Daphnia pulex: one gene and its partners. The protein of the gene in region 2 purifies or fractionates together with the protein of the main gene of each other region. This does not show direct contact. Links are inferred from orthologs where the notes say so. Each region holds a gene or a part of one and is shown on either strand. Other genes may lie near its edges. The genes, in order: nucleoprotein TPR-like, nuclear pore complex protein Nup107-like, nucleoporin SEH1-like, protein SEC13 homolog and nucleoporin Nup37-like.

Region 1 (4,155 bases), about 2.6 Mb from region 2:
CACACACTTTTTACTCTCATTAAGCTGCAGTTCTATGTCTGCCGGTCGAGCACTTTCTTGCCTAACTTGAGCAGGAGTTGACGTGACAACACTACGGAATTTGGACGGTGTTTGAGCGTCTCCTAATCCGGCTTCCTGTAAATGCATTGCACGTTTAAAAACTCATTTAATAAATATATAAATAACAAAGTTAACTGTCACCTGAAGTAGAATGCGATACATGTCTCGCTGTTGGATAACACTCTCCATCAGCTCTTCATGGCGCCTAAAAAAAGTCATAAATATTAGACTTAGCTAATGAAAAAAATGTATCTCTGATTAATAAAGTTTATACCTTCGAGTATCTCGAAGGTGTTCCACTTCAGTCAGTGCATTTTCCAATGCACGCTGAATTTTGGCGGTTTTGGTATCAATCTCACTCTGTTCAGCAGCGTCTTGCTTTTCGGTTACTTCACGGAGGGTGGTCAGCAACATTTGATTTTTCTGTTGAAGCTCCTCAACATCACGGAACGTGACGAGGTGGCGACTAATTACGGCAGCAGCCGATCCTTCACTGGACGTCACTTGGTCTTCGTCAGCGGGCTCGTCGCGTATCCTGTTACCTCGAAGCTCCTCGGTTTCACGAATGAGCAAACAAACTTGTTTACTCAGATCAGCAACTTGCTTCTCGAGACGTTGAGAAGTTCGTTGAGACTGTCCCAGCATACGGCGAGCTTCCAGAGCATTTTCTCTCTCGGTTTCCGCTTCTTCTACAGCTAAATCAAGTTGTCTGGTTAAATTGGCAACCATTTCAATTGATTTCTCATAGTCTTCTCGCTGTCGAGCTATGGTTGGCGCTCGATCTTCGAGTTCCTGTAAACAACCGTAAAAGAATTTGAATTAGCAACCGATAAAAGAAAAAATATTTATTCTTTACCTGGAGAATCTGATCAATATAGTTATTCAGCTTTTTATTCTCTTCCTCTTTGAATAGCATTTGCTCGGAAATGGACACATATTGACTGTAAATCTGCGTCAGGGTCATTCCTGATTTCAACAACCTATGAATTAAAATAGTTATACGTAATTAGATTGATTAAAAATACGGAACACATTCTATTACCGTGAAGCTGCAGCAGCTGATGGAGACATAGCTTCTATGTTTTCTTCAGTTATTAAACGTGATTTGTTGGGATCAAGTAAGGCATTGGCACGTTCAAGTTCTTTCTTTAATTCCCCATTAGTTTCAGAACTTTTCTGTAATTGGTCATTTAGCTGATCAATTTGAGCCTTAGAATCTGTTTCCAGGTTTCCAAATCGCACTGAGGCATCACGAAGTAGTCTTTGCAATTCTTCGGTAGTTTTGGTAATTTCATCAGCTTTGGCTTGGGCGTCTTCACTCGATGCTTTGTACAAATCACAAAGTCTCATTTGAGATCTCAGCTCATTTCTGTAAGATGATTAACGATTTATCATTATTCTAGTAATATTTTAAACTTTGAATATTACCTATTATTTTCGGACATTTTCATTTCTGTTTCACTTAGTTCCTTGAGTTTATCGTTTAATTCTTTAATATGCTTTTCGTGTCGCTCAATTGTCGTTGTTAGTTCACCGATGGATTTCTGAGCGATTCGTAACTAGAAAAATAAGTTTAGAAAACAATTATTACAATTGAGTAATGCTAGTGTTAATTTTGCAAAAGAATACCTCTTCAATTTTCTCAGACAAATCTGCTTGCAGTTCTAGCACTTTAGAAGTCTTCTCACGTCTGATGTTCATAACCTCCTTTGTTCTGGATTCAAGTTCATCTTGCAAAAGCCTCTGCTGTCGAACAATAAGTTCCCGTTCTTGATTCAGCCTTTTTTCTCTACAAATATTACATTTTATTTTTACCTACATTTAAACTGAACAAAAGTATAGAACTTACTTGTAATCCAGAGCAAGCTGTTGGCTGTTAAGTTCTTCGGTTTTTATAAGGGCTTCAGATTTTTCTTTATTGGCATGAACAAGTTGATCAGTTAAAGCCTTGAGCTCCCCTGTAAGTCTATCCAGGTCGTCATTTCTTCTTGAAAGTAGAGAATTAAGATTATCCTTTTCTTCTGAAAGTGATTCCTTTTCTTTCTTCCACTCTTGGTGAGTAGCTTCCAGTCTAAAACAGACACCAGATAAATAAATAATTTACAAGATTAAAATAAAAATATCTTACAAAGCCAGTTTTGATCCAACATGATTGAGCTGATCTTGTGAGGATGCAAGGTCGGCTTCTACCTTGGCTTTCCCATCTGTCAATTCTTGAATTAGAGATTCCTCTCTTCGTAAACGATCTTGTAGTTGCTGAAGCTGTGAATCCAACTCAAAACACTGTTGTTCTGTAAAGAATACAATAGCCACATTTGATGTTTACTCTCCACATGCCAAATAGTTACAATATAAAAGGCAAACTTACCAGACTGGGTTTGAAGCTTAGCAAATTTGATATTCAAGTGGTTGGAATCATTTTCATGCTTTTTCAATACCTCTTCTAACTTAATTTTTATCGAGTCATTTAGATTTTTAAATTCATCTTCCGATAAAACTAACGACAAGAGGCTAACGGCCGCCATTGAAAAGGACCTTTATTAAAGAAAATGAGGTTTACAACGAATAATATTTAATGTATGGTTTAAACAATTATTTAAAATTTTTTACCTCGCCGGGTAGGAAAATAAGATCGGTAGATACTGTGGTAGAACAGGTGATGTCTGAGCTTGGCGAGAGCGTGAGTAAAATTTGTAGACTAAACTTTTTTCGTCGTGGGTCCTCAAACCTGGGCATCAAAATTCGTAAGCAAACGTTGCCAAGTTGTTTATTGTTTGTTTTATCCACGACGCCTAACAAGGCGGGAGCGGGACGCGGGAGCGGAACTGAGGAAGCGGGAGACTGCAAAAGAACCTCAACGGAAACTGCAACATGCCTAAATGTTAATTCTCGGGGATAGAACTTTTTTTTCTTTTTTTTTCACATTAGGTTATTCATAACCAACATAAATGCTGGCAATAAATATAGGATCATTCCAAAGACGTCGACACAACTATGTGACTCGTAAGGTTTATATTAAAATAAAATAAGAAATAATACAATAAGCATGAAGGAGGAAAGCGATGTAATTTGTTAAACGAAATAAATTTAAACATTTGAGTATACCTATAATTAGGGAAGGAAAAGACCATGCTCTTTTTTGAAGTGTATACAAATGACAGTTATGATTGTTTTTTGTTTTTTTAATTATTATTATTAATATTATTATTAATCAAATGTTGTCCAAGATGACTTGTCGGATGTAAGGAAGGATTCGTTAGGTTTGGCGCGCTCGGGTCCAGAGACAGTTGGCCCAAGATTGGTTCGTGTGAACGCCAAAAGATTGCTGAACGGATCCGATCCTGTATCAAAACGGCTGGTGTAGCCCTTAAAAGTAGTTGCTCCACCACTACCACTGCTGGCTCCAGATGGCACTTGGGGTTCTGCGATCTGTCGCGGAACGTGGAAGGAATAGACCGGATTAGACTGGGTTACCCGCGTTGGTTCTGGTTCCGTTCGAAGAGCTCCTAAAGGATCAAATTCATCGACTGGCGAGAGTGAAGTTGCCGAGTCCAGACGAATCAAATCTACTTGTGCTGCACTCTAAAAAAATATTATGGGTTTAGTAAAAACAAGTACTCGGAAATTCTAACACAAATGCGACTGGACGGTAAAAATGCACGCGATATTCAAACCCACACGAAAACAAAAATTACCTTAGGAGACAGTGGACTACTTTGTGGCTCGGTACGCTTACGAGAACGGAGGGGTGGCAGGGGAATCGGTTGAACAGAATAAGGTCCAGCGTTAAGGATAGGTGCACTATGTTGACGTAGGACAGGGTTGGCAACAGGGGAAATAGGGGGACTGGATAGACTGGGTTTACGCTGCAAATTTTAAAACAGAAAAAAAAAAAAAAAACGAAATAATAAAATAAACAAAACAGAACCAGCAACCATCAACACAAAAAACCAAACATTGGAAAACCAGCAAGCAATAAACTGAAATAGTCACAATTGTAAAAGTTATTACTGAACGATCTATGGCGGGTGGTGTTGACGCGGAAGACGCTGTCTTGGCCAAAATATCCTTCATGTCGTCCATCAAGTTCAAATT
Region 2 (4,315 bases):
GACATTACAAAGTAGCAGGGCTGCGTGTGGGATGCAAGTTTGTCGCAACAACTGTTGTTGCTGTTGTCGGGGAGAATTTTCCTCCTCGAAGGACATGCTATCAACCATCCAGCCTCCGTCAGGAAAAAGTAGGACGTTATACAGTTTGTCAATAGCTGATTGCGTGAGGGAATCGACGGCTGCCTGCCAGCGTTGAATTTCAACTTGATGTTGCTTAAGATGCTGTTCTTTGAGTAAGTTTTCAGTGAATGATAGTTGAGAACTGGCTCCTCCTCGCTGTTGTTGAACGGTAGCTTCTGTTTTCTTGGGCTTGGAGTGATGGAAACGTGTGAACCATTCTTGAAAGGCGTCTAGTGCATCAATGTAAGTCTGGATGCAAAGGTATTCACGGACAGCAGCCTCGACTTCAGTGGGCAAATCCGTCAATCCAGTTCGTGATTCCCATAGTTCGGTCAATATGGCGACTGTGTCGGGTGGAGTCAACTGGAACGTCAGCTTCACAGCTTCAATCTGACGACGGAGAAGGTATCCCCGCATGAGAGTGTTGGCTTGGATAAGCAATTGACTTCGCATTGACGGATCCATTAACAACCAGCTCAGTGAACGTATCCGGCGTTCATCTTCTGCCGTGGTCGCTACCTAAAAGTATTAAACAATTATGAGTACGCTATGCACGAATGCAGATCGAAATCTATATTAATCACCTGTAGAGAAGCATCAGTGACGTGTTGGACCATTCCGCCCTGGTCGCAAAGTTTGATTACAACTTGTTTGGCGATAGCGTTGACATCAAGTCCGACATCCTGGGCCAAAGATAGGAGGCGCCTTCGCTCCTCGTCGTCACAGGATTCTTCCTGTTCCTCTACCATAACGAGGCATTGAGCATACAGGCGAATTTGATCTTCTGGCAAAGGCAATTGTCCAACATAGACAGCCGCCAAATCAGTTCGTCCAAGATTGACAAGTTGTAGAACGTAAGCTTCCAGGATGGATCCGATGGAATCGTCACATGAGCCACGACCGATGCGCCGGAAGAACAGAGCAAGATGGGACATTAGCCGGATCATGTGAGGGCGTAGGTGAACGCTCCAGCTGTCACCTTGTTTCAGCCAAGACGACATTTCTTCAAGTAATCCGTCAACATCATCCATAATAAGGTAGCGCTGTATGATCCTGCATTTCAAAATTTGCTTTGGTAAATTTCGCATTAGACAAATTAAAGAATTAGTCACCTATATTGGTCACGGCCTTGGGCGATCAAAGTCTTATCTCTGGAGGCAGCTAAAGTTGAGAAAATGGACTCGACGGTCAACTGTTGATTCCAATATTCGTCTGGTAGAATTTGAAGTTGCCGTTTATAATTGACACAGCGACGAAGTTCCTTCTCGACACAGTGGTCGATCATGGCACGCAGATGAGCCCACAGTTGATCTTCCCAGGAACGACAGGCAGGTAAAAGGGCTTTCAAATGTCCACAAAGAAGAGCAAAGATTGCGCGCTCTTCCTCCGACAACTGCACATTTTCGCACTCTTTCCAAGTCATCGTCTTCCATATGTCACGATAAGGATTTCCAGATGGCGACTCTACAGTTGAGATAAATATTTTTATCGAATCCATTGGTTTCTACAAATCTGGAAATTACCTTTCGTGTTGGCTACATCCGTGCGAGATTTCATGTTGGGATCATGAAACAGTTTCCATCCTTCCAAAATTGCAGCCCGAAATGGTTGACCTGCTCGGAAACAGAGCTGCTGGGCTTCATCCAGCTGTCCACAACGGAGTCGAGCAAATACAGAACGAAGCAAACGCATTTCATCTTCTTTGTCAAGTGGGTGAAGACGTCTGTTTTGTTCTCGGTTAGGAGCATCGGGATCCATTTGAGTAACCATATTTTGCTCGACGTTATCTGTACTAAGCCCTCGTTTTTTACTGACCAAAGAATGAAGAGTATTTTCCCAGCCGGCAACCGCATCTCCGTAAAACTCCACCTAATTAGAGTATAATATATTATTTAATAAAAGAAAATTTTAATTACATTAAAAAATACCTGGCTGTAATGGGAATCGTGATAGACATCAGCCGCTCGTTGTTCCAGCCAATCGACTACGAGCTGAGCCTGTCTGATTATGGCATTTTTGTCATAGAGTTGTTTTACCAAGTCATCTTCACTTGTAACATCATCCAATCCACTCCAGATTTCATCAGACTCCATTTCACTGTCATGAAATTCAGAGTTTAAACGATCTTGGTAGAGAGATGCAACCAATCTCCATGTGTCACGCTCAAGTCTCAGTTCTTGCTCCAATTCTTGTGCTTGTGATAGTTTGTTGTGTCCACGAGGGGCCATTTGAATCAATTTTCGCAAAGCAGATACTTGTTCTCCACATTCTGACTCATATTCTGCACACTGATTAAACACTTGATGTTCTGCCCCATATGACTGAAATGTTTTGAGGAATCTCTCAAATAGTTCTAAGACATTTTCTACTCCTGGAACTTCTTCTTCTAGAAGGATGCTCATGAGTTCTTCATTTCGTTTCTTTCGTGATACATTGCTCACTGTTAAGTCTGCTCTTGTCGAATCCAGATTTTTCCTTTGTAAACCAGCACCAATTCTCGTAAATGTAGGATCACTTTCGAAAATAGTGTGGCTAAGATCATCAGACATAAAAGACATTGTATTATGTCGGTTAGGAGAAGGGAGGCAACTGGCCCCCAACATGTCTGATGTCTTTTCGAGTGAGTGCTTTATTCTTCGACCAGGAAGATTTAGTTTGCCAGTAACAGTTGAGTTAGAACCGGCAATAATTGGAGATTGAAACTCCATTGTGCTTATTTTAAAAAGATACAATAAAATTCACTGTCTTATAAAGAAGAAGTTTGAAGGTTTGAAGTTTTCCGTTTTTCGTTTTATTGTAACGTAGCAGACTAAGTAAAAGGGCGTTGCAATTCACGTTCAAAGTTTTATTCATTAAAATAATTATAATTAATTGAAATTGAAATAGTAATGATTTGATTTTTATAATTGTTATAATATTTAATACAATTTTATTCTATTTTTTAACTCAATTTTTAAGATTTTATTTCAAACAATTTGAATGTTCACTTCACTTCCTTCCTACCCCTTCCTAGCAGACAAACTTAAGTTTGTTTTTGACTTTTTGACACGTGTGAAAAATTGTCTTTAAAAATCATGGCGAATTTCAATACTAAACGGCCTATGGAAGAAGATAGCAGCGATTCTTCAGAGGAAGAAGAAGAAGAAAATGATTCTCAAGATGAAGAAATGGGTGAAGATGAGCAACTTGGAGAGAACGACCGAGAGATTCAAGTCGACTTTGAAGGTCAATCACCAATCGCTGAAGATTTTCACGGTATCAAGAGTCTAATGCATCAGCTTTTCCTAAAGGCTCATATTAATTTAAGTGGTCTGACGGAACTCATCATTCAGCAAAACTACATTGGAAGTATATTACAGGTAATAAAATCTTGTGAAGATGTAATTTGTGTACTTTACTAAAGATATCTACTTCTTCAGCAATGTGTGGATAATGATGAACCTGATAGTGATGATGAAGGAAATTCTCTTGATGAAGTTTTTGGAATTACTTCTGTAATTAACTTGACACATCACAAGGTGAGATAAAATTTTGAATTTGTGTTACACAAATTACAATTAACCCAATTTTTTTTGTTATTTACTTTTCCTAGGATGTGGAATGTATTAAAGAAGTAAAAAAGTACCTGTTGGAAAAAACACAGAAGAAACTGAGTGGATTGTTTGATGATCCATCTAACCAGATAGGACTTATATTCAATGAAAGGTTCATAAACATACCACCTCAAGTTTCTGTTCCCCTACTGGAAAATCTATGGTATACAAGACTTAATTTGAATTATATCCCAAGTTTAAATGTAAAATTTTGTTAATAGTAAGGAGATTGATGAAGCAAAAAAATCTGGAAAGCCTTTTGACTTTACACACTTCATTTTAATTTCCAAACTTCATGAATCTACAAGAAAAGATCCTGAATCAAGGAAAAAAAAAGTCAAAGGAGGAGCCACCATATTATGGGTTAATGCAGAAGAAGAACCAATTTCAGAGGTATTCATCTATTAATTCCACGCCTAAGTAGAGTAGGTTGTAATAAAATTTCGTCAAATAGATGGGTGAAATATTAGGAGAATATTCTGTACGAAGCGAGTCAGATGCAGCAGTTTCCGGGACATGGGACGAAGATGACGAACAATTCGATCCGAAAAGAAGGATAGTCCTTATTACCGCAAAGCAGCTGCCTGAGGTGTTGATTAAAA
Region 3 (3,427 bases), on a different chromosome or scaffold from region 2:
AGGAACTGATAGCTCAATTTCCCATGTTTAAAAATGATTTTTTTAAAACTAAAATCGTAAATTTTTGTGATGGCTATCACTAGTTTAGGGAAAATCACGAATAGGATGATTTTCCTATATTTCCTACAGACACATGCAATCGACCCAAAATTTGACGAAGATCACAAATCCTTAGTTCTTTTCTTATTTGCGTCAAAATAATACTTACTGATAATATTTACGGAACTACTGACTTTTAAACTGGAGGTAGACAAAAACAAACGTTTGCAAAAATCTAACAGGTGAGTTTTGTAATATTCAGTTTTTGTCAAAAATCACAAAAATGACCTTACAGTTTATTGTTGTAAATGTCCTTAGAGATGTGTAAATGTATGCAGTAATGCAGCTGAAAATGATCAAATCATTTGAATCATTTCCCTCCTAACAAAAAAACAAATAGCTACTCTACTAGAGAAAAGTGTTTTTATAACAACTTGACCCTAAACGAATGTGACATGAAAAAATGACATAGTTTAAAACTCCATATCATTTCATTTATTTCTTCAGAACAACTTTCCATTTTCGAGACCATGGGTTTCTCCAGAAATGAAAACTCCCAGTTATTTGTGTGGATTGGAAGAGACATATTATTATCATAAAAATTGGGAAGTAAATGTTAGTGCCAGGGTACTTGATTTGGATTGCTGATTGCGCCAAGTTTAAAGTAACGAGCAGTTGCTGCAGAAACGGTTTTATCACGATCAGTTCCGTCTTCTGGACTTACACCCGATCCATCACCTTTCAACACGGCAATGCATTTCCAATTCTGCAAATAGTTGGCTGTGGAAATAGACAGTAAAAACAGCTGATTTAATAGGCCAGACATGGCATTAAATATTTCTTGATTTCTTGCCTTTCCACATTCTTAAACAGCCGTCATCTCCTGAAGAAGCTAGAATAGTTCCAGTAATGTTCCAAGAGATTCTCCAAACAGTAGAATGATGGTCATCAAATTGGGCTGCCTGCAGTATCTCCAACTGGGAAGTTGGACAAGCTGCTGCATAAGCATCTTTCCTTTAATAAAAAAAATTATAAATTTATTCTTATTCCATCCTTAAAATATTTTAACTACTTACTGAGGTGGTTTAAGAATAACTATTCTAACATCTTTGCTTGCAATTCCTAGAATGTGGTAACTTCTTCCCAAGTTAGGTGCAAATGCTATGTCATGCACTGGGTCGACTATTGTGTTGATAGTTTCAGCTTTAGACCAGCGATGGGAGCTTTCACTGTACTCAAACAGAAACACTTTTCCACCAGAGGCGACATTCGTGTCATCACTACCAACTGCCAACATTGGAGGATGGAGACGAGAAAATGACGGATTCCATGATAGACAAGACACAGGCATTTTCAGTGTTATTTCTTGCTGCAAACTCCATTGACTTAGGTTCATAATGTCTGGGGCTTCATATATTCTAACCTATTATGTTATAAAATTGACATTTTCATCTGGTTTATATATTTAACAATGTAATAAATATATCTTAGAACTTACTCCTCCATCAGCTGAACACATAGCTAACAATAGTCCCATGTGTTTTGGAGCAAATTTGATGTCAGTCACATTGGTTCTTGAATCTACCAAACTTGTCCTTTTCACCCAATGACTTTGGTTTTTACTCTGCGTTGAATTCCCTGATTCACCAACTGGATATGCATTTAGTAACTAATTTAAGTTGTTAAAATTGTAAAGAATTTTACAAACCAATTTCTTCCCAAATTGCAGCTGTTCTGTCAAATGAGCAAGTGGCTAAAATTTGACCAAATTCAGGATGAGCCCAATTTACTTTCCAAACAGAACCAGCATGAGTCTTCCAATCAGCAGTCAATCTCCATTCATCATTTTCATCCAGGTCAAAAACCTTGAAAGATAATTCCGCAATTTAGTTAACACAAGAAATTTTTTTCGATTTCTAACAATTTACTTTAACACTCTGGTCGGAGGAACAAGTAGCCAATCGACGCCCATAAAAATCATAAGCTACATCATGAATCAGGTCTTTGTGTTCAGCATTTATCGTTCTTGCTTGAAACATGTTTACAGAACTTTTTAAATCACTTCTTAATCACGAGAAACAAGTTTTTGCTTGCAAATTTCACAGAATTAAGAAAGCAAGAACGCAAGCAGCCGACAGCTCGACTGATCAAACTTCAAATGTATGGCACTATGGCAGTATGGGACAGTTGTGGGCGTTGCCAGATTGATTCATGAAAGAAACGATGTTTTTTCTGATATTGTTGGTTGGCTGACTTGGCTCATTGCTGGGGAGTGGTTGCTAGGTAACAAATATGCTTTACAAAACAAACAAAAATTTAAAGTGACGATGATCGTGTTAGTTGCTCATTACCTGCTTTTTTTCATCTTAAAGAAGGTGGAGGCTTACGATGTCATATTGTCTTCGTTTCCTGAAAGCTGCAATCGTTCCTCCTACTTTGATTCGATATCACATAAGTGCAAAGGTTGCGGGGTCTTTCAAATATCTTCCGATGACCGTTTGAGTTGTGAGTGTGGCTTTGGCTACTACCCTGAATTTAATGAAAAGTCCAAAGCAATTGAATGCTTACGCTGTAACCAATCAATTCAGTCAGAAATGTGTCTAAAAAGCAATCTCACGTGTGAACCGTACGACATCAAAGGTATGAAAAACGCACATTTACCTAGGTCCTATCTGCTAAGTATAGTAAAGAAGAATTAATTTCTGAATTTTTATCACAGTCCTTCAAATTACTGGAAATATTACCTCCGCACGATGTCTGAAATGCCCGCTTTGGCATCAGCCTGATGACACAAAATCTTCGTGCGTTCCTTGTTCGAACATGTGTCATTGTCCTAGTGAATACGAAGATGTGAACGGAACTTGCGTCAAAGATTTATTCACGATTCCCGAAACACCCACTATCTTTACATATAACTTACACGGGAGACCTTACATTTCTAATTATTTGCGGAATTGGGTTAGATTGACGGCAATTAAATGCAAGGTAGGAATTATTTACCATGTTTGTGCTATTAAACACCAATTTTTTTTCTTTAAAGGCACACGGTGGAGGAAAATACTGCGAACATCTGATCAATCTCTGTGTCTTAACGGATTACAACTACGATTCTCAGTCAGCTTGCTCTCTTTATCGACAATTATCTGGAGGCTTTAGCAATTCAATATACTACGACGATAGTCAAAACGAATATCTACTAAACTCCGCCAGGATAAACATACTGAAAGATCAAGTAGCATCTATAACTTTTACGGACTAAACAGGAAAAGTTTTTCATTAATGACTTTTTTTAGAAAATGGATTTTATGGTTAAACAATACGCATTAGATGGTACATATTTATTGATCCAGCCTCTTCAATCGGTTTTTAAATCATTGTGCTGCACTGG
Region 4 (3,220 bases), on a different chromosome or scaffold from region 2:
TTTCTTCTCGTGCTGTGGCCTCGCACATCAAGTCGCTGACCGAACTTTGGATTCAGCTGGAGCCGAAGACCGTCAATTCCATTATGGAACGCCTTGACGTGTTGGGCCGCCATCCGGAATTTATCAACAAGAAGAACTTTGTTGCTTCCGTCGGTAAGCCGTGCCTGGCTTTTTACCGTGAGCCAGATGATTTCTTCCCTGATGACGGACAATGGTATCGCGCCGTGGTTGAAAGCGTCAATGGAGACACCGCCAGAGTCTACTATTTTGATTACGGTCACACTTGTGAGGTGCAGACCAGTTTGTTGAGAGATTTACCCTCGGATTACGCCAAGCAACCGGCGTTGGCATTCAAGTGTTGCCTGGATGGAGCGGAATCTTTCTCCAAAGTCGCCGCCGATGCTTTTCTTGATCGCTTCGTTAAACGTGCTTTCTTCGCCGTTAAATTCATCAAGGTCGTCGACGGAGCCCTTCACATTCGTCTCTTTACTTTAAATGGGGTGGATCTTTTCGAAAAGCACCGCAAGATATTGACTCCGCCTTCGTCACCGGAAACTTCAGCGAAAGCAGATGAGAACGATTTTTCGACACCTTTTGCATTCCTTGCGACTCCATCACACAAATGAACCAGTTCATTTTCTCCAAAACAATTTCAAAATTCTTCTTACGACGACGGAAAGTCTTAATTCTATAGAGAGAGAGAGAGAACAATTATTTTATGAACTCGGTCAACAAATATTCAGCTTTTCTTTTCAACAGTGTTAACACACCCAGCCTTCTTTTTGCATCTTAATTGTTACAATATTATAGTAAAGATGTTTAATTCCTTTCGGTCTTCACAAACTATTTCCCAACAAAAATTTTTATATTAGGCTGCGGTTGTTTCATTTTCTGTGCAAGAAATATTTATTTTGGTTTCATTACTTTCGTGACTACGTTTCCTTTTTTCACGTTTTTTCCACTGTGACTGCGTTAATTATTTTTGTACTTGTCCTGTTGCACGTCACCCTTGTACTTCTTCCGTTCTGAAATTCTTAATAAATCATATTTGTTCCTTGTATTTATTTGTACGTCATCTTATTGATCTAACCCTTTTTTTGAATGAAAATTTAAATGGAGGTGGCGTGGCGCCAAAACGTTTTCACTAAAATTGGTTGAATTGTTGATGTTTGGCAACGCGCTGGGGACACGTCGACTGAAAATTGACAGATTCGTTTGTGTGAGTTTGTCGGTATTTTTTTTACGCAGGAATATTTTATAACTCGCTGTCTTATCTACAAGTTCTCAGTAAAAATGGTACTTTGTCATAATTTGGATGCATTTTTAAAGGCACTTGTAAAATTATCATTAAATTATTCCCTCTTAGGTGTCAGTCATTTCCACAGTCGATACTGGACATGAAGACATGATCGTGAGTATCTAATCATTCTGATGTTGATTTTGTAATTTCTTACATGATATTAACGTTTTTTTGGGGATTTATTAGCATGATGCGCAAATGGACTATTATGGCTGTCGGCTTGCAACCTGCTCATCTGACAGGTCTGTGAGGATTTACGATGTGAAAAATGGAACACAAACATTGGCTGCCGATTTGAGAGGACACGAAGGACCGGTATGTTAATTTTGAATGATCTGTTAATATCATACAACAAATGGTGGTTATACTGACAATTTCATACATTTATCAGGTTTGGCAAATTGCTTGGGCTCATCCCAAGTTTGGGAATATTTTAGCATCATGTTCTTATGATCACAAAGTTATTATCTGGAAAGAGATGAATGGACAATGGGTCAAGTTTTATGAATATGCTAACCATGATTCATCTGTGAACTCTGTTTGCTGGGCCCCTCATGACTATGGCCTTATCCTCGCTTGTGGAAGTTCTGATGGATCCATCTCCATTCTCTCTGCTACAGCTGCAGGAGGTTGGGAGGCCAAGAAGATCAACAATGCCCATACAGTATACATTTCACCATCTTTATTAAGTCTTAAATATTTCCTAATGCATGTGATGCTATTGTAGATTGGGTGCAATGCAGTTAGTTGGGCTCCAGCTATTGGACCTAACGCGGCCTTTGACTCAACTACCGGTTCACGATCTGCTCCTGTCAAGCGTTTTGTTAGTGGGGGTTGTGATAACCTAGTCAAAGTCTGGCGGTAAGTTACATAATTCATTTAAAAAGTAAATCTCCTTTATCAATCGAGGCCTTTTTTCGAATTTGCAGGGAAGATAAAGAATGGGTTGAGGAAGCTAAACTAGAAGGCCATTCGGATTGGGTTCGTGATGCAGCTTGGGCTCCGTCCATTGGGCTTTCGCGTACGGTCATCGCCAGCTGTTCTCAAGATCGTCGAGTGATTCTATGGACCAACGACGGTGTTTCCAGCAGTTGGAACCAACGAGTTCTTCACACCTTCGAAGATGTTGTTTGGCACGTCTCATGGTCCGTGACCGGAAACATCTTGGCGGTCTCTGGTGGGGACAACAAAGTTAGTCTCTGGAAGGAAACAGTGGAAGGCCAATGGGTATGCATCAGTGACGTGAATCGAGGCAAGGGATCGACGCCTGGCCAACAGTGAAAATACCCGTCTGTTTGTTAATCTCCACTCTAACGCTAGCCATGTTTCCCTTGATTTGGTTTACTATATAAATTACCGCAAAGAAACATTTAAACGTTTAATTATTTATTTCAACCCAATAATATTCTTAAAAGATTAGAAACTACCAACACGTTCAAACTGTTCCCTAAGAGTCGATACCGAGTTTTAAGTGAAGTGTTTTCAGGAAAGGTAAATTCAGCAGGGAAGCCCATTAAATTTCCGACTTCTCGCGGTGTGAAATATCTAAGAACAGAAAATGTTACAACAAATAATACGTTGGGTTAGTTATGAGGCAATTTCAGTTATTAGGTTTTCAATCTTACCTTAATTTTAAAGGTTTCAAATGAGCAATATCTTCATCTTCTTTAAATTCAGCGAATTTTTGGTGAAATGGCTCGTTCGGGTCGTGTTGAAGTACAGAACCAGTTCCTTCTGCATAGTGGGTATACGCTTTGGTGAAACAACAGGAAGATGTGTCGGATGTTCGTCGTACATCGAGAATACGCCAATACTTTAATAATGTTTTATCAGTAAGCAAATAACGTGCCAATTCTTCATCAGACATATCTTTCTCCAGATAGGGGTCTAACGTTTTTTCTTGCACCGGCATTTCAATGT
Region 5 (3,487 bases), on a different chromosome or scaffold from region 2:
TGACTTTTTCTTTTAATTAGATCTCAAGTTTAATAGAAAATGAAAACTTATCCAAACAGCATTTGCTGACCAATAAAAACAGACGTATTGGCGTTCTGGTAATTATGGCAATTAAGGGCCTAGATTAGGAACTTAGGTTACCACTTTACCAGCAAGCTATAACCTGCTAACATATTGTTTCTTCAAACAAAATTTATGTTAAATTTCCTGTTAAAACTTAATAATATATATAATTTTAATGGAATCATTTAAAAAATCTTTGAATTCAATGCATGTATATGCTTAAAAATTCCATAGTGACAAATGATTTCTCCAGGATATTAAATTTAAGAAGTAGGGCTTATATTGGATTTGATCATTTAATATGAGAAAGTATAAATGTTTTTGTCAAAGTTGTTTAGGTTTGTTAATTGGCATGTCATTACTAAGGACCTATGTTATATAACAACAGAAAAGAATTACCATAACTTAATAAGTGGAATTTTCAATAAAAGTTTTAACAAAATATGTTTACCAAGAGAATTGTTAGTTAAAGTTTGGTTGAGCTCAGAATTTTATTTGATCAGCATTCAGAAATCAAAATTAATTTACAATAAGGGATTATTTTAGTAGCAATTTCCAAAATCGTACAGATCGATCGTTTGCTACAGCAAGAAGGGGTAAAGAATAATGCCAACTTAGATCGCTGGCAGCCTAAATTTAAATGGAGTACATATTATTATGAAAATTCAACGTTAAAAAAAAATTTGCTACGCTAAGTTTACCATTAACGAATCCGTTATCATTACTGGTCCTAATGAACGGAGTACGGTCACAACAGGGCCTGGTGATCCAAGAACGGCAATCAATGTATCGATGGTAGAATGAAAGCGTACTTTTCGGACCATTTCACAAGAAACTGTTGTAGTGTCTTCTGGAAGCCTTTTTTTTTAAACCAAGAAATCAAATAACAATCTGCCATGGTCGACAGCTTTCAAGTAATGTCATTTGTAAAGAATAATAGTATACCTTAATGCCTCTAAATCCCAATTTTGAATTCGACCTCCTAATGATGTCGCAATATGAGTGGGATTGCAGGACGACCAATCAGCATCAAGAGCCGGGTCTTGACAGCTAAAGTTGTTGCTCAAAGAAGTTACTGGAGAAAAATTTAAAGTACTGAAGATTCTTGTAACGCCAGACTTTTCCATCACTAAGAATTTACTGGGCTCCGAAGGATTGAATCTAACGGCCATTCCTACATAAGGTTTCCAATTTTAATCCTACAGTGTTATTTTTGTCATTTTTACATCTCATTTATAAATCACCTGAAGATTGAAGAGGAATTGTTTTTAAAAGATCTCCAGTCTCTGTAGACCAAATTTTACAAGTAAAATCATCAGAAGTAGAGATCAAGAATTTTTCATTGATGTCTGGTTGAAATGCTATTGAATTGACATTGTCAGCATGTCCACTCAATTCCTATAAAGATAATGTTGATTTTTATTTTTAAAAGACTTTCAAAGTATGCTAAACCTGTTACCAAAACATTTTCTGATTGAGCAAGATCACTTGTATAAATCCGAATTTTCCCATCAATGCCTGCTGTGGCAAATTTGCAGACTTTAGGAACTGTATCACTGGATGAGAGTGCACTCCAACTCAAGGAAACAACTGGGCAAAAATGATGAAATTCACGAATCACATTGAACTGAATCTCATCCTGACGATAACAAAAGCAATTAGTAAAACAATAGATACATAACGATGTATCAAGTAGGTAATGACAGGTTTTGACAATACAAAATGTGCTTACGTTTTCATTTTGAACGTTGGCAACGACCACCTTATTTTCCGTTCCGATTGCTAGGAAATTTTTGGACCACTCGTATGGTGAAAATGAAAGACAGAAAATCTCTTCATCTCCCAAGCCAACTGAATGAAACGGTCTGGAAAGAGAGCCCATTTCTTTTTTTATGATGGCTTTTTTACTTAAAAATCTTTTTACAAATTCAAATCGGTTTTCTGATTGTGGTTCGTGCTTCGTGGTTTGTAAAAACAAATTACGTCTGCCAAGTTACGTTGCCGAATTTCAATCCCTCATGTCGCTTTGTTGCCAGTAGCCTTTTTTTGCAACCGCTTTATCAAATTATCAACTCTGGTTTTATAAAAGCCGATAAAAGCGATAAAAGCAATAAAAGTAAAATTTATCAATCTGAAAATTAGTCAGTTATTCCATGGTTTTTCTTAACGCACAGCTATAGGTTATTAAATTACCTCGCTACCAGTGAGTATATCGGACAAAAAAGAAGAATGTGTCTGTCATGCTAAGATTTTTAATAGCAACTTGACTAATGGCAGAACACAATTTTCCGAATATGGGAATTTATCAAACATATTATTTCTGTTTTACAGATTACAGACAAAAAGAAAGAATCACCCCCTCCCCCACAAATGTTCCGCCATTTGTGTCTCATAATAGACAATATCCGCAAGGGTTTTTACCCATAATCGAGGAAACCTCACCTACGCAATTTGCCTTATCGTCGTGTTACAACTACAACACGAGTAAACTAAAGCAGATATTCATAAATGAACTTTATGTAAGAAATAATTGCGCGTCATAAACTATTTCTTAACATTTAAAAAATCGAGTAGTTTTTATGTAAATCGCACTTCAGTGATGCTTCAGGTGTTAGCTAAGTTTATAAAGAAATCCGTACTTATAGAGCCGTGTTGCATAAAATACAAATTACAAGTTATCTGTGTGATAATTATAATTACCCTAAATAATTATAATTATTGGTGCGGAGATCTATCGAATCTCGAACTCCTATCACGAGATGTCTTGCGTCTGTTACAGATGCAAGATGTAATTTTTGTCGAGTGTTTTCAATGAAAACACTTCCTTATAAATAAACGAAAATATATAACCCAGTATAATTTACCATTTAACCGAATCATTAGATAATCCCGCAGATCGATTGAATTTCTGTTTGCGTGACACGAGGGAAATATATTTCGATTCATCTTTTTTCTTTCCTTAATGGACACACGTGATGCGCGATATATGAAGCAAATAGTCGCGCGTGTGTGTGTGGGCCGCCGATGCCGCTGCGCCATTAATCAAATGGAAAGTGCCAATGGATTTCGGGCGCGGTAAGCTCATCCGGAGCTTCATCATCATTATAATCTCTTTTCCGACATCACCATTTTCTCAAAGAAGAAATAAAAGCTGCTGCCCAAGTACAAAATATAAATAAGGCGTCTCGAAAAGATATAAATGACGCACTCTGATGTGGGGTCGCCTAAATTATTTCACGTACCGGAAAAATCCAAGAAAAAAGAAAATTTTATTCTTGCGCAACATTTTATACCAATCCAAAGTGCTGGCGGAAGGGGGGTAAAAAAAAATCTACAAGTTCACAGAGTGCAGAGTTATAGTGGCCATATATTACAACACCAACCAAAGTTGTGAGTTTTGCGCTTGATTGAAATTACACACAAG

The links.
Region 1: the proteins of nuclear pore complex protein Nup107-like (region 2) and nucleoprotein TPR-like fractionate together in Homo sapiens (co-fractionation; 4 studies listed by BioGRID and IntAct, with this or other methods). This does not show direct contact. The link is inferred for Daphnia pulex from reciprocal best matches to the Homo sapiens genes NUP107 and TPR.
Region 3: the proteins of nuclear pore complex protein Nup107-like (region 2) and nucleoporin SEH1-like purify together in Homo sapiens (affinity purification with mass spectrometry; 5 studies listed by BioGRID and IntAct, with this or other methods). This does not show direct contact. The link is inferred for Daphnia pulex from reciprocal best matches to the Homo sapiens genes NUP107 and SEH1L.
Region 4: the proteins of nuclear pore complex protein Nup107-like (region 2) and protein SEC13 homolog purify together in Homo sapiens (affinity purification with mass spectrometry; 8 studies listed by BioGRID and IntAct, counting the BioPlex papers as one, with this or other methods). This does not show direct contact. The link is inferred for Daphnia pulex from reciprocal best matches to the Homo sapiens genes NUP107 and SEC13.
Region 5: the proteins of nuclear pore complex protein Nup107-like (region 2) and nucleoporin Nup37-like purify together in Homo sapiens (affinity purification with mass spectrometry; 7 studies listed by BioGRID and IntAct, with this or other methods). This does not show direct contact. The link is inferred for Daphnia pulex from reciprocal best matches to the Homo sapiens genes NUP107 and NUP37.

Annotation. Positions count from the first base shown.
Region 1 is NC_060019.1:7,495,817-7,499,971, forward strand, and holds the start of nucleoprotein TPR-like, read right to left. Parts: upstream 2,817-4,155; 5' UTR 2,671-2,816; intron 2,596-2,670; 5' UTR 2,586-2,595; coding exon 2,429-2,585; intron 2,352-2,428; coding exon 2,189-2,351; intron 2,132-2,188; coding exon 1,910-2,131; intron 1,850-1,909; coding exon 1,690-1,849; intron 1,620-1,689; coding exon 1,489-1,619; intron 1,430-1,488; coding exon 1,103-1,429; intron 1,041-1,102; coding exon 917-1,040; intron 853-916; coding exon 335-852; intron 266-334; coding exon 202-265; intron 136-201; coding exon 1-135. Other genes in the region: DENN domain-containing protein 1A-like, read right to left, coding at 3,268-3,642, 3,756-3,926, 4,072-4,155.
Region 2 is NC_060019.1:10,133,828-10,138,142, forward strand, and holds the start of nuclear pore complex protein Nup107-like, read right to left. Parts: upstream 2,829-4,315; coding exon 2,049-2,828; intron 1,990-2,048; coding exon 1,644-1,989; intron 1,585-1,643; coding exon 1,233-1,584; intron 1,174-1,232; coding exon 705-1,173; intron 640-704; coding exon 1-639. Other genes in the region: protein BCCIP homolog, read left to right, coding at 3,195-3,479, 3,540-3,638, 3,713-3,876, 3,935-4,106, 4,168-4,315. UniProt on the Homo sapiens protein: Plays a role in the nuclear pore complex (NPC) assembly and/or maintenance. Required for the assembly of peripheral proteins into the NPC. May anchor NUP62 to the NPC. Involved in nephrogenesis.
Region 3 is NC_060020.1:7,749,691-7,753,117, reverse strand, and holds nucleoporin SEH1-like, read right to left. Parts: upstream 2,254-3,427; 5' UTR 2,079-2,253; coding exon 1,968-2,078; intron 1,905-1,967; coding exon 1,748-1,904; intron 1,690-1,747; coding exon 1,538-1,689; intron 1,463-1,537; coding exon 1,116-1,462; intron 1,054-1,115; coding exon 893-1,053; intron 820-892; coding exon 656-819; 3' UTR 512-655; downstream 1-511. Other genes in the region: meckelin-like, read left to right, coding at 2,367-2,679, 2,759-3,024, 3,080-3,271, 3,333-3,427. UniProt on the Homo sapiens protein: Component of the Nup107-160 subcomplex of the nuclear pore complex (NPC). The Nup107-160 subcomplex is required for the assembly of a functional NPC.
Region 4 is NC_060026.1:1,756,671-1,759,890, reverse strand, and holds protein SEC13 homolog, read left to right. Parts: upstream 1-1,141; 5' UTR 1,142-1,293; coding exon 1,294-1,296; intron 1,297-1,366; coding exon 1,367-1,411; intron 1,412-1,486; coding exon 1,487-1,615; intron 1,616-1,691; coding exon 1,692-1,964; intron 1,965-2,027; coding exon 2,028-2,161; intron 2,162-2,229; coding exon 2,230-2,581; 3' UTR 2,582-2,669; downstream 2,670-3,220. Other genes in the region: uncharacterized protein LOC124206188, read left to right, coding at 1-626; tRNA (cytosine(38)-C(5))-methyltransferase-like, read right to left, coding at 2,692-2,845, 2,926-3,220. UniProt on the Homo sapiens protein: Functions as a component of the nuclear pore complex (NPC) and the COPII coat. At the endoplasmic reticulum, SEC13 is involved in the biogenesis of COPII-coated vesicles.
Region 5 is NC_060025.1:2,849,087-2,852,573, reverse strand, and holds nucleoporin Nup37-like, read right to left. Parts: upstream 2,152-3,487; 5' UTR 1,946-2,151; coding exon 1,796-1,945; intron 1,703-1,795; coding exon 1,523-1,702; intron 1,462-1,522; coding exon 1,308-1,461; intron 1,238-1,307; coding exon 1,009-1,237; intron 922-1,008; coding exon 765-921; intron 694-764; coding exon 601-693; 3' UTR 536-600; downstream 1-535. UniProt on the Homo sapiens protein: Component of the Nup107-160 subcomplex of the nuclear pore complex (NPC). The Nup107-160 subcomplex is required for the assembly of a functional NPC.